Callithrix jacchus: one gene and its partners. The protein of the gene in region 3 interacts with the protein of the main gene of each other region in a biochemical or structural test. Links are inferred from orthologs where the notes say so. Each region holds a gene or a part of one and is shown on either strand. Other genes may lie near its edges. The genes, in order: KHDRBS1, FASLG and FYN.

Region 1 (3,651 bases), on a different chromosome or scaffold from region 3:
CATAGTCATAATATTCTGAGTCCCTGAAAGCCAAAGACAAGAATGTTAGGAAGCTACAGAGGAACTATGTTTTAGTTTCACCTTTTTCTCAAATACTTTCATATTTCAGTTATTTTACTATGTATATTTATACAGGAAAATACTCATTCTAACCCATCCCTAGATGCCAAAATATTTCCAAAATACGTATATACGTACTTATAAAATAATTATGACATCTATAGCAAAGAAAAATGGATATCACAGAATATAAAGTGAAAAAGCACAATTCTAAATTAACCCTCTTAATATAGCATACATATATATGTATTCATAGGGCTCACCAGAAGAAAAAAATAACTTGTTTTATTACTACCACAGAATTGAGACTCTTTTCAATCAATTCACAGGTAAGCTATATATATGGACACACAAGAATATGGTCTTAAAGAGAAATACGGAAGTGGAGAAGGGCAGGGAAGAGAAATACAGAAAAGAACCTAGGTTATGGTAATGGAATTCAAATTTTATGTAACTTCAATGTGGTTTTGATATTTTAAAATGATAAATCAAAATAATGTAAAGGCATTTCTCCTTGTTTCCATGTCACAGGTCGGAAATTTTTCATCTGCTACTCTCAGGTTCTGTATTATAATTTAAGGTTTAGAGTTATACAAATTTATTTTGAAGCACATCTGTGTGCTTCAAAGATGACAAAAGCAGAGGAAAGCCTTGCATGGTGGCATGTGCCTGTAATACCAACTATTAGAGAGGGCCAAAGTGGCAGGATTGCTTGAGCTCAAGATCAAGACCAGTCGGGTTTGGGTGGGGAGTACAAAGGCGATACCCTCAAAATGTGAACCATTCTGCTCCTTAGGGTTGTGCTGTCTAAATCTCTGTTCCTCCAACTCCCTCTCTCCAACCTTAGGACACAAAACCAGTGCTTATATTGCCTGACTCACCCTTGACTCTGGCTGTAATAGCCTTCATAGCCTTCGTAACTTTGTTCTGCATACGTATCATCGTATCCCTAAAACAGAAAAATAAATACATAAAAGATCAAAATCATAGAGAGTAGGAAAAGTAATTATATCTCATGAAAGTAGGTAGGCTTCTGGATTAAAAAAGGACATGACATTTCCCTCCAAAATGTTAATGCCTACTGTAGAATAGTTAAAAGAGAAAGGGTTACTAAACAAAGAAAACCCAAACAAATATATGCCACAGAACACGTGTGGGTAGGAAAAATTACAAAAATCAAGCTTTAGTATTATCAGTATTAGTAGTTAAGAAATTCGTTATAAAACACTACATTAAGGTATATTTTATTTCCTGTTTAATCTACAGACTTACAGAAAATCAAGCCTAAAATGGAAAAGCCTTCTAATAGTTCAACATTCACTGCAAGAGAAGAGGTCAGCTTCCAAATCTTACAAGTAGTCCATGACACCTACATAAAGGACTGAGGCCCTGTCATTTGATTTCATTTGGCAACCTTCTAGGTATTGGAAAATGGCACACTGTTCAAATTTCTTACATATTCTTCATATGTTTCTGGTGCAGGAGGTGGAGGCAAAGGTATCCTCTGGATGCCCGCTGTCCGTGCTCTTGGTGCTGGAGCACCCCTCACAGTAGGTGGGGGTGGCACGCCTCGAGTCACAGTGGCACCTCTGGTAATGGCTCCCCTTACTGGTGTACCACGTACCAAAGCCCCACGAGGTGGTCCAACACCACGGCCCCTACAAAATGAAAGTTTACTTTAAATGGAGCTTTTCATAAACAGACCACTTTTATGTTCTGATTTGTTTTCAAATTCTGGAGTTAGGCAGATTTTATGAAGCCTTAACTAGGCTATTATTAAAGCACAGAGGAATGCACAGGACAAAGAACCCATACTCAAAGACTCCCCGGGTCCTACAGTGGACCAATTCATCACTGCACTGCCTTAGGTAGGTCGGGAGAGTCTGAACACTCCATAAAGGTCAGTCACAAAAGGTAGAACTTTAAAGTTAGACCACTAAAAAATACTAGGACTGGCTGGGCGCAGTGGCTAACACCTGTAATCCCAGAACTTTGGGAAGCCAAGGTGGGTGGATCAACTGAGGTCAGGAGTTCAAGACCAGACTGATCAACAAGGAGAAATCCCATCTCTACTAAAAATATAAAATTAGCCGGGCATGGTGGTACATGCCTGTGATCCCAGCTACTTGGAAGGCTGAGGCAGGAGAATTGCTTAAACCTGGGAGGCAGAGTTTGCAGTGAATCAAGATCACACCATTGCACTCCAGCCTGGGCACCAAGAGCAAAATTCCATCTCAAAAAAATGCTAGACCTGTCCAAAATTAGAAAACCAAAAGTCGGTTGGGTGTGGTGGCTCAAGCCTGTAATCCCAGCACTTTGGGAGGCTGAGGCGGGTGGATCACAAGGTCAAGAGATCGAGACCATCCTGGTCAACATGGTGAAACCCCATCTCTACTAAAAATACAAAAAACTAGCTGGGTATGGTGGCGTGTGCCTGTAATCCCAGCTACTCGGGAGGCTGAGGCAGGAGAATTGCCTGAACCCAGGAGGCGGAGGTTGCGGCGAGCCGAGATCGCGCCATTGTACTCCAGCCTGGGTAACAAGAGCGAAACTCCATCTCAAAAAAAAAAAAGAAAACCAAAAGTCTCAGTTAGACTATAGCACTTGGTTATGGTCAAAGTGCCCAAGACCAAGAATTTATATATATATATATATATATATATATGTTTTTAGACTTAGTCTTACTCTGCCGCCAGGCTGGGGTGCAGTGGCGCGATCTCAGCTCACTGCAACCTCTGCCTCCCGGGTTCAAGTGATTCTCTTGCCTCAGCCTCCCGAGTAGCTGGGACTAGAGGCACAAGCCACCATGCCCAGCTAATTTTTATATTTTTTTTTAGTGGAGACAGGGTTTCACCACGTTGGCCAGGATGGTCTCGATGTCTTGATCTTGTGATCTGCCTGCCTCAGCTTCCCAAAGTGCTGGAATTACAGGTATGAAACCACCGAACCTGGCCAAGAATTCTTTTTTTTTTTTTTTTTTTTTTTTTTTGTGGAAATGGAAATGGAATCTTGCTTTGTCACCCAGGATGGAGTGCAGCCGCATGATCTCAGCTCACTGCAACCTCCGTCTCCTGGGTCCAAGCAATTCTCCTGCTTCAGCCTCCCAAGAAGCTGGGATTATAGGTGTGTGCCAACACATGGGGCTAAGTTTTGTATTTTTAGTAAAGATAGGGTTTTGCCACATTGGCCAGGCTGGTCTTGAACTCCTGATCTCAGGTGATCCACCCACCTCAGCCTCCCAAAGTGCTGGGATTATAGGCATGAGCCACCACACCTGGCTGGAGAATTCTATTCTTGATGCAACATATAAATCCTGAGACCCTTTCTATGCTAGACATAAGAGCACCACCAAAAGAGATGATACTAGTAATCAAATTTATACCCTATTTCTGGGTGTCTCCATTATTTTTACCTGGGAACAGGTGGTGGAGGAGGTGCAGCTCCCCGGCCTCTCACTGGCACCCCACGTCCACGAGAGGGTTCAGGTACTCCATTTAAGTAGGACAGCTCTAGAAATTGCTCCTGGCAGATATCATCCATCATATCCTGGGAATGAAAGATACAAGGAGTACTGTGTGATATCTACGCTTT
Region 2 (4,127 bases), on a different chromosome or scaffold from region 3:
CTTCAGGCACAGGCACATCTCTGATTATTTTCTTAAGATAAATTCTTAGCTATGGGATTACAACGTAAACTATTAGTTCCAAGCTTTTGATTGTATATCCAAAGTGCTCTTCAGAGAAAGCTATAGCAATTTACATGTACACTGGCTGAAACAAATGTTTGAACAGGCTCTTTTCTCTCAAATCTTTGTCAATTTGTGCTTTTTTTTAATTTTTACCAATTTGATGAAAACTTGATATTTCCTATTTTTAATTTGCATTATATTAATTTGAATCTCTTTTCTTATTAGCCATGTGATAATTTACCAATTTCTGGTCCATCTAGAGAAGATAATTGCTTACCAGGCAGATAGACCTGACTCATCTGATCATTTGACTTTTAATCACTAAACTGACTCAAGAGTGGGTGAAATATGAATAATTAGGTACCTATCAGACCAGGCACATTCCACAGATTTTCAAAATGATCTTATTTAAGACATCCTCCAGAGGCTTTATTTTTTTAACAAATATTTCCACTCTGCTTGTGTACATGTGGAAGTTCTAACATATAAGGATTAGGACACAGACACAGGAGCCAGAGCATCCAACAGTGGCTCCTACAAGAACCTAACAATCTGGGATAGCAGACAGGCGACTGGGTTGCCTGCAGTAGCCACATCCAGAGAAATGGGAACTTGCTCCACTTCTTGGCCAGTGCTGCCTTCTGCTTGCTTCTGAGTTTCTAAGGATGAGATTTACCTATTCTCTTTGCAGAGGTATTCTGCTTTTCATCTATTTCTCATTCCATGGTCACTACAGTCAGGAGTTTCCCTACTTGATGAGGCACCAGTCCATGTGCTGGAAAGCCCTGTAGGTGACAAGGCATCAAGAGCCCGTGTTCCTTCCAGCCCCAGTTCCAGACCAGTGTTCTTGGGCGTGTTCACCTAATCTGTCTGGTATTTTGTTTCTCTTCCAAAAGACAGAATGACTGGACTAGATATATTCTAAGCTTCCTTCCAACTCTAAAAATTCAATGAATCGCATTGTAAATCTAAATCTGAAATTTCAGTGAACCTTAGACTAGTGAAGTGTGCCGTAAAATCTATCTGTACAGAGCTTGCAAAACTATGCCCTGACATTTCATGAGATCAGTGTTCAACATGTCATCTTCTTGTCCTAGCTCCCATACAAAGGGTTTTCCTTTGTGATCAAGGGTACCTCATGACCGTCTCTGTGGGTGAAGCTGAATGTCCTTTGAATGATGGCTGAAGTCTTCCCCTAAGCTACTCAGTGACTTCAAGAAAAACCATCCTATTGTGGGCAATTGATTATCCTCATTAAAAGCATACATCCTATAAAATAGTTTATAAATTAAGCTTCACTGTAATCTCTTTAGAGAGTTTAAAAGAGGAGAGGACGTTTCTGAGAAACATCTATCTCTGCCTTCACCTCGCCTTCTCTTCCCAGGAGTCAAAGCCACTGGCATGTGTGCCACAACCAAGATGCCTGTGGAATGCGACAGACCTTCCTCAGGGGGCAAAGGTCCAAGTTGTGTATGTGTGTCTCCAAAGTCAAGTGAAAGTGATTTTGAATTGTGTGCTGTGCTCAGCTATACTGATTGTGAGCAATTCAATTGACTTCACATTTTTAAAGCAGCTCGAGGAATCATATTGACCAGAAATTCAGAATCAGCCAGAACTCCTCTCATAGCATACATAAGCCAAAGTGTAGGACAGAATATAAGGCATTCCATTAACATAGTTCAGTGCTGAGGATCATCTTTGGGAACTCATTGTACCCACAAAAAAAGGACTCACCTATTTGCTTCTCCACAGACGATACTGCATGCCTCTGGCTGGCAGACTAGTAAAAGAGAAAGAGAAAAGATGTATAAAAAAAATAAAACTCTTTAAGCAAAAGAGGCAGAATTGTCAAATAAACCAAGCCCTGGAAAAAGAATCCAAATACCTCAGAACTTTTGTTAACTCAGGCTTTGTCCAAGCAATTTTGCCTCACTGTCCCCCAGTTTTGTGATTTGGAATCATATCAATATTTTAAGTACTTTCAAGATTCAGTTTGGTCATCTGAACAAATTTACTTCCAAGCAAAACTTAAAAGTTTGGTTTGTTTGTTACTCCTTGAATCACTAGGTATGAGGCAGGAAGTGGTTCAACAGACTGAGTTGACACATGAGGAAAAGAAAACTGTTGGGCTCTGATGCTTTACGAAACAAAAAATATTCCCCTCACTCATGTGAACCTCCATTTCTCTGCCTATAGAATAGAATAACTAGAACAACCCATTTCTAAGGAAAAAAAAAAGAACTGAAAAGCACTTGGCAAGCCAGGCAGTGGGCCCTGCACCCCCTTATGCCAGGTGCCTCCAGGGCACGGCAGTCCACCAGCAGGCTTACCTCTCGGAGTTCTGCCAGCTCCTTCTGAAGGTGGAAGAGCTGAAACATCCCCAGTCCCAATCCTACCAAGGCAACCAGAACCATGAAAAACATCACAAGGAGACACAGGCCTGTGCTGTGGGTCCCTCCCTTCTTCAGGGGTGGCAGTGGTAATGGAGGCAATGGTGGCGGTGGTGGAGGTGGTAGTGGCGGCGGTGGTGGCGGCGGCGGTGGTCTCCTTTGGCCAGGCCTTCTGGGCACAGAGGTTGGACAGGGAAGCACTGTGCCTGGAGGGGCCCAGGGAGAGCTGGCACTGCTGTCCACCCAGTAGATCTGGGGATATGGGTAATTGAAGGGCTGCTGCATGGCAGCCGGTGACTCCAGCCAGCCCCAGCAAATGGTCTTATTTCTTCCTAATCCTGTAGAGGCTGAGGCGTCAAGGACAGGACTCCTGTTGCTGACTGCTCAAGAGAAAGGAAGCTAGATCTCTCTTATAGAGTTTCCATAGCTAAGGGAAACACCTCTCTCTCATTCTGCTTCTCAGAGAAACGCCCACTCACTTTGCATCTGAAACTGAGAAGTCTCAAGAAGCTCAGAGCAAACCCCTTGGAAGTTTCCGCCCACAATTTTCTTATGAAGGCCTTTGAAGCCCTAGGTGCTGTCGCTGGGCTACCCAAAAAGGCTGGTAGGCTGTGCTCCCCTTCCTTGGGTCCTGCAGAGCAGGTCAGCACTGGGATGTAGCCCTGTTGGTGTCAACTTCTCCCAGCTACAGGAGAATGGCCAGTGGAGATATAATTTTATGAATTATAATCGTATGCATTTTTATAAATTATCATTATATAATTTTAAGAATTCTACAATACATACAACCAAAAAACTATTTTAAAATCCCAAAATAACTCTAACAAAAATTGTTCAGAATCATATTTTTAAATCCATAAATTTTACTGCAAATGGCTCTGAGGTGAAAGACCATGAAGTCATGGCCAAAGAAGTCACTCCCACATTTTACTTTTTGCAAAAGGAAAACATCTGTTGCCATCATCCCTTCCCCACACACAAGTATCATCTACCCTGACCAGCAAATCACCATAATTTACAGAGTAAAAACCTGCTACACCCACTTTAGAAATTAGCTCAGAGGCTGCAAACCAGTGGAACCCACAGAGCTGCTTTGTATTTCACATGTTTTTCTTTTCATTGGTTGCCCACTTTATTTATTTATTTATTTAAAGAGAGACAGAGTCTCACTCTGCCACCCAGCCTGGAGTGCAGTGGTGCTACCATAGTTCACTGCAGCCTCAAAATCCTGGGCTCAAGCAGTCCTCTTGCCTCGACTCCCAAGTATCTGGGATTATAGGCATAGGTCACTACACCTGACTAATTTATTCTATTTTTTTGTAGAGATGGGGACTTGCTATGGTGCCCAGGCTGGTCTCAGCCTCCTGACTTCTAGAGATCCTCCCGCTTCAGTCTCCCAAAGTGCTGGGATTACAGACATGAGCAACTGCACTCAGCCAGCCCAACTGACCACTTTAAATATTGATACTAAAAATATTATATATTTTTAAATACACATTAAAAAAATATTTCTATTCTCTTTTGAAACATCAGAATGTCGGACACCCTCAAGGCCATGGGTAGCAGCTACCCCTGAGAATGAAGGACAGGTGTTCTGGGTCACCCAGCCTCCACCACGCCCCTGTGTCTTACACATCACCTCACCATCTGAAAGGCCTGCCTGGTCTCTGCTGA
Region 3 (3,651 bases):
AATCTTGGCTCACTGCAACCTCTGCCTCCTGGGTTCTAGCAGTTTTCTACCTCAGCCTCCTGAATAGCTGGGATTACAGGCACTCGCCACCACACCCAGCTAATTTTTGTATTTTTAGTAGAGACGAGGTTTCACCATCTTGGCCAGGCTGGTCTTGAACTCCTGACCTCGTGATCCACTCGCCTCAGCCTCCCAGGTGCTGACTCTTAAAGAGCAAAGATCACTTATAAATTGTCAAATTTCCCATGTATGCTTAGTGGGCAGATATTTTATGAAGTTTAAATGAACTTTTCTTTAAGCCACTTGGTTTTCCATAATTTATATTTTTGTAGGTTACATGTTGTAATTATATGAACCATGTCTTTAACAGGATAATAAGAACTCCTCCAATTTACAGAATTCTTTTTTTTTTTTTTTTTTTAGACAGAGTTTCACTCTTGTTACCCAGGCTGGAGTGCAGTGGCGCAATCTCAGCTCACTGCAACCTCCGCCTCCTGGGTTCAGGCAATTCTCCTGCTTCAGCCTCCCGAGTAGCTGGGGTTACAGGCATGCGCCACCACACCCAGCTAATTTTTTTGTATTTTTAGTAGAGACGGGGTTTCACCATGTTGACCAGGATGGTCTCAATCTCTTGACCTCGTGATCCCCCCACTTCAGCCTCCCAAAAGTCAGTTACATTAAGTATAAAAATCTTAATTTAAACCAGTCTTCTTTTTCAAATAGAAAATAATCTAAATTAGCAGATTTTTCCCCTTTATAAAGTTATTCTTCAGCTTCATAGGTCTAATAATGGGATATACATAGAACCTAGGTTTGGTTTTTATTTTTGTTTTTTTTAATGCTGGGACTGAAAGAGACCCTGAAAAGATAATCCAATTCTATTTTCTATTCCTATATTTTACAGATGAGGTAACTGATGACAATCATAAACCAGGCCTTGCCTTCAGATTTGCTAGATTGTTTTTTTAACATGCAAAGCATAAATATTTCTATTCTGTCTTAGCTGCTTTTAATTTCCCCTGTCTACCTACCTGACAGAAACCATTGTTCTTGTGGCTGGCCATAGTAAAGCTGAGGAATTTGCCTTACCTGGTTGAAGTATTGGCAAGTGGACTGTGAGCTCCTTGCCAGTGCTTGTCAGCATGCTTGGCACACCTGTGCAAGGACTCAGTCACGTAACTCGTCCATTGTAAATGTTAAAAGTCTAGAGGTGATTTTCAGACATCCTCATGTGTTGCCCTATTTTTAAATGGCACACCCCATAAACTTAAATAATCTAATTTCTTCCTTGCTCACTGTACTCCCTAAGGGAGTATCCCTAAGCTATTAGATAGCCAGGCCTGTTCCAATCCCTGGACTTTCATCACTGTGAACACCAGTCCAGAGCTTTTGGTATAAATGTGTAATCATATGACCGAGCCAAAAAGAAACTGGTATATATCAAAATTTTTAAAAAATTAATGAATTATACATCTTAATATAGCCATCTTAGCCATAGCCACAAATAAACACATTTTTTTCTGTTAAAATACTTGACAGAGTCCTTGCAATTGAACGTCTTTGTTCAACAAAAACTATAGTAAGTGTTTTAAACTTAAAATCTAACTTTATGCAAATAGCTGTTGGTCAAAAACTTTTCTTTCCATCAAAAGAGGATCTTTGGTTTGACTTCATTATTATGGGATGTTTGTAGGTACCTGGAATGGAAACACAAAAGTAGCCATAAAGACTCTTAAACCAGGCACAATGTCCCCTGAATCATTCCTCGAGGAAGCACAGATCATGAAGAAGCTGAAGCATGACAAGCTGGTCCAGCTCTATGCAGTGGTGTCCGAGGAACCAATCTATATCGTCACCGAGTATATGAATAAAGGTTGGGCAACACCTCTCCCGTCTCTAGCTCACAGTGCCTTAACGGGTTGTTTGCGGGGAGAAATAGAGGCTTCCTGCTTGCTTTTTTTCCAGTTTCTGCCTGGGTCAAGTATTCCCATCAGGAAGCACCAGTTATGTGTTCATGAATGAAAACATTTTTAAAACAGGCTAACCTTGAGTTTGCCTCACCCCAAATCCTTGAAAAATGCTGAGTACCTTTTGCATGTTATGTGTATCAAAAATTCAAGCTCCTCTCCCTAATTAAAACATTCATTTTTAATATTGGGGTGGTACAGAGGGTTATAATAGTTTGCTGTTATTTTGAACACAGTAGCTTTTGTTACATTTCCTTTTTGCAAGACTAAACAGTTAATATCAGACACTGGTCTCTAAGCTAAGTTTAGTCTCCATCATTTCAACATCTTATTTTTTTCCAACTCTCTCCTTAAACATCAGATGATGAAATTACACACTTTCAGAGACCACATTTATTCTCACATTCTCTCCCCCACAACCCCTCTGTCTTTCTAATCAAACCAACATTGTTGGGGATAAGGCCAAAGATCATTTTGTTTTGGAAAAGTAGATGAAACAAACAAGAAACAGCCTTAAAAGGCAATACATTGTACATCAGAGGATACCAGTGTAATTTTTCTTTTCCATGTACTTTCTTTTAAAATATAATTGGAATTTTTTTTCTGGCAAACTATTTGTCCTTTGTATCCAGGGTTATTTTGTAAATAACTTTGTGATTAAAGCATAAAGTATCACTGATGACCATCATAAGCCTCTGGCTTCTGCAAATGATTATCCCTGCCTTGGTGTTAGTTCTCAGCCTCCTTAGGCTGTATTATAATAGTGGCTCTGAAGCTTCCAATGTTTTCTTTCAGATGTCTGATTTAAGGCTTGGCTGGCTATGATCTAATTAAGGGGAACTATCTGCCCCACCCATATTCTTCAGATTGTCTCTTCTTGATTCAAAATCTGTAAATAAGCTAAGCCAGTGAATCTCAAACTTTACCTTGTGTTATTAGAGTCATCTGTAGGGCTTCTTAAAACACAAGGTTCTGGACCCAACCTTCATAGTTTCTGATTTACTCAATCTGGGATAGGACCTGAGAATTTGCATGTCTTAAAGTTCCCTGGTGCTGTTACAGCTGCTGGTCCCAAGACCTCAATTTTGGACCACTCAGCTGGCCTATATTTTCCCCACATCAATTCTCTGTGCAGGGCTGGTTGAGGAATGGAATTGAAGAGGTGCAGTTCTTAACAGGTTCCTCTTTATGACCTAAAGGGATATTGATTCCCATTTCTTCTAGTTTTATCAAATATATGTTGTTATCCCTAGAAATGAAATGAATGCTGTTTGTTTTTAAAAGGTAAAACTGTGGCTTCTCCATGCATATACTTTTCTCTACTCTGCTCTTTTATATAAACCTTATTTTTCCATGGATGGCATTATTCCATTTGATGACCTTATTACTTTTAATTAAGAAAACCAAATACAGTCCTCTGTTGAGAATTATCTTTCAAAGTAGATTGAAATGATTTTATGTTTTGTTCATAGGAAGTCTACTCGATTTCTTAAAAGATGGAGAAGGAAGAGCTCTGAAATTACCAAATCTTGTGGACATGGCAGCACAGGTAGGCCCTGCGGGGTACCTTGATGTGCTGTAGATTTAATGACATGTAAATACATTGGGTCACGGTGTAACTAACATGTCCCGTTCCCTGGGTTTCCACAGGTGGCTGCAGGAATGGCTTACATCGAGCGCATGA

What was found.
Region 1: the proteins of FYN (region 3) and KHDRBS1 form a complex in vitro, tested with the Homo sapiens proteins (4 studies listed by BioGRID and IntAct, with this or other methods). The link is inferred for Callithrix jacchus from reciprocal best matches to the Homo sapiens genes FYN and KHDRBS1.
Region 2: the proteins of FYN (region 3) and FASLG form a complex in vitro, tested with the Homo sapiens proteins (4 studies listed by BioGRID and IntAct, with this or other methods). The link is inferred for Callithrix jacchus from reciprocal best matches to the Homo sapiens genes FYN and FASLG.

Annotation. Positions count from the first base shown.
Region 1 is NC_133508.1:68,648,751-68,652,401, reverse strand, and holds part of KHDRBS1 (KH domain-containing, RNA-binding, signal transduction-associated protein 1), read right to left. Parts: intron 3,607-3,651; coding exon 3,473-3,606; intron 1,719-3,472; coding exon 1,517-1,718; intron 1,010-1,516; coding exon 942-1,009; intron 24-941; coding exon 1-23. UniProt on the Homo sapiens protein: Recruited and tyrosine phosphorylated by several receptor systems, for example the T-cell, leptin and insulin receptors. Once phosphorylated, functions as an adapter protein in signal transduction cascades by binding to SH2 and SH3 domain-containing proteins.
Region 2 is NC_133519.1:30,108,641-30,112,767, forward strand, and holds the start of FASLG (tumor necrosis factor ligand superfamily member 6), read right to left. Parts: upstream 2,840-4,127; 5' UTR 2,739-2,839; coding exon 2,394-2,738; intron 1,844-2,393; coding exon 1,798-1,843; intron 1-1,797. UniProt on the Homo sapiens protein: Cytokine that binds to TNFRSF6/FAS, a receptor that transduces the apoptotic signal into cells. Involved in cytotoxic T-cell-mediated apoptosis, natural killer cell-mediated apoptosis and in T-cell development.
Region 3 is NC_133505.1:117,948,319-117,951,969, reverse strand, and holds part of FYN (tyrosine-protein kinase Fyn), read left to right. Parts: intron 1-1,693; coding exon 1,694-1,873; intron 1,874-3,439; coding exon 3,440-3,516; intron 3,517-3,617; coding exon 3,618-3,651. UniProt on the Homo sapiens protein: Non-receptor tyrosine-protein kinase that plays a role in many biological processes including regulation of cell growth and survival, cell adhesion, integrin-mediated signaling, cytoskeletal remodeling, cell motility, immune response and axon guidance.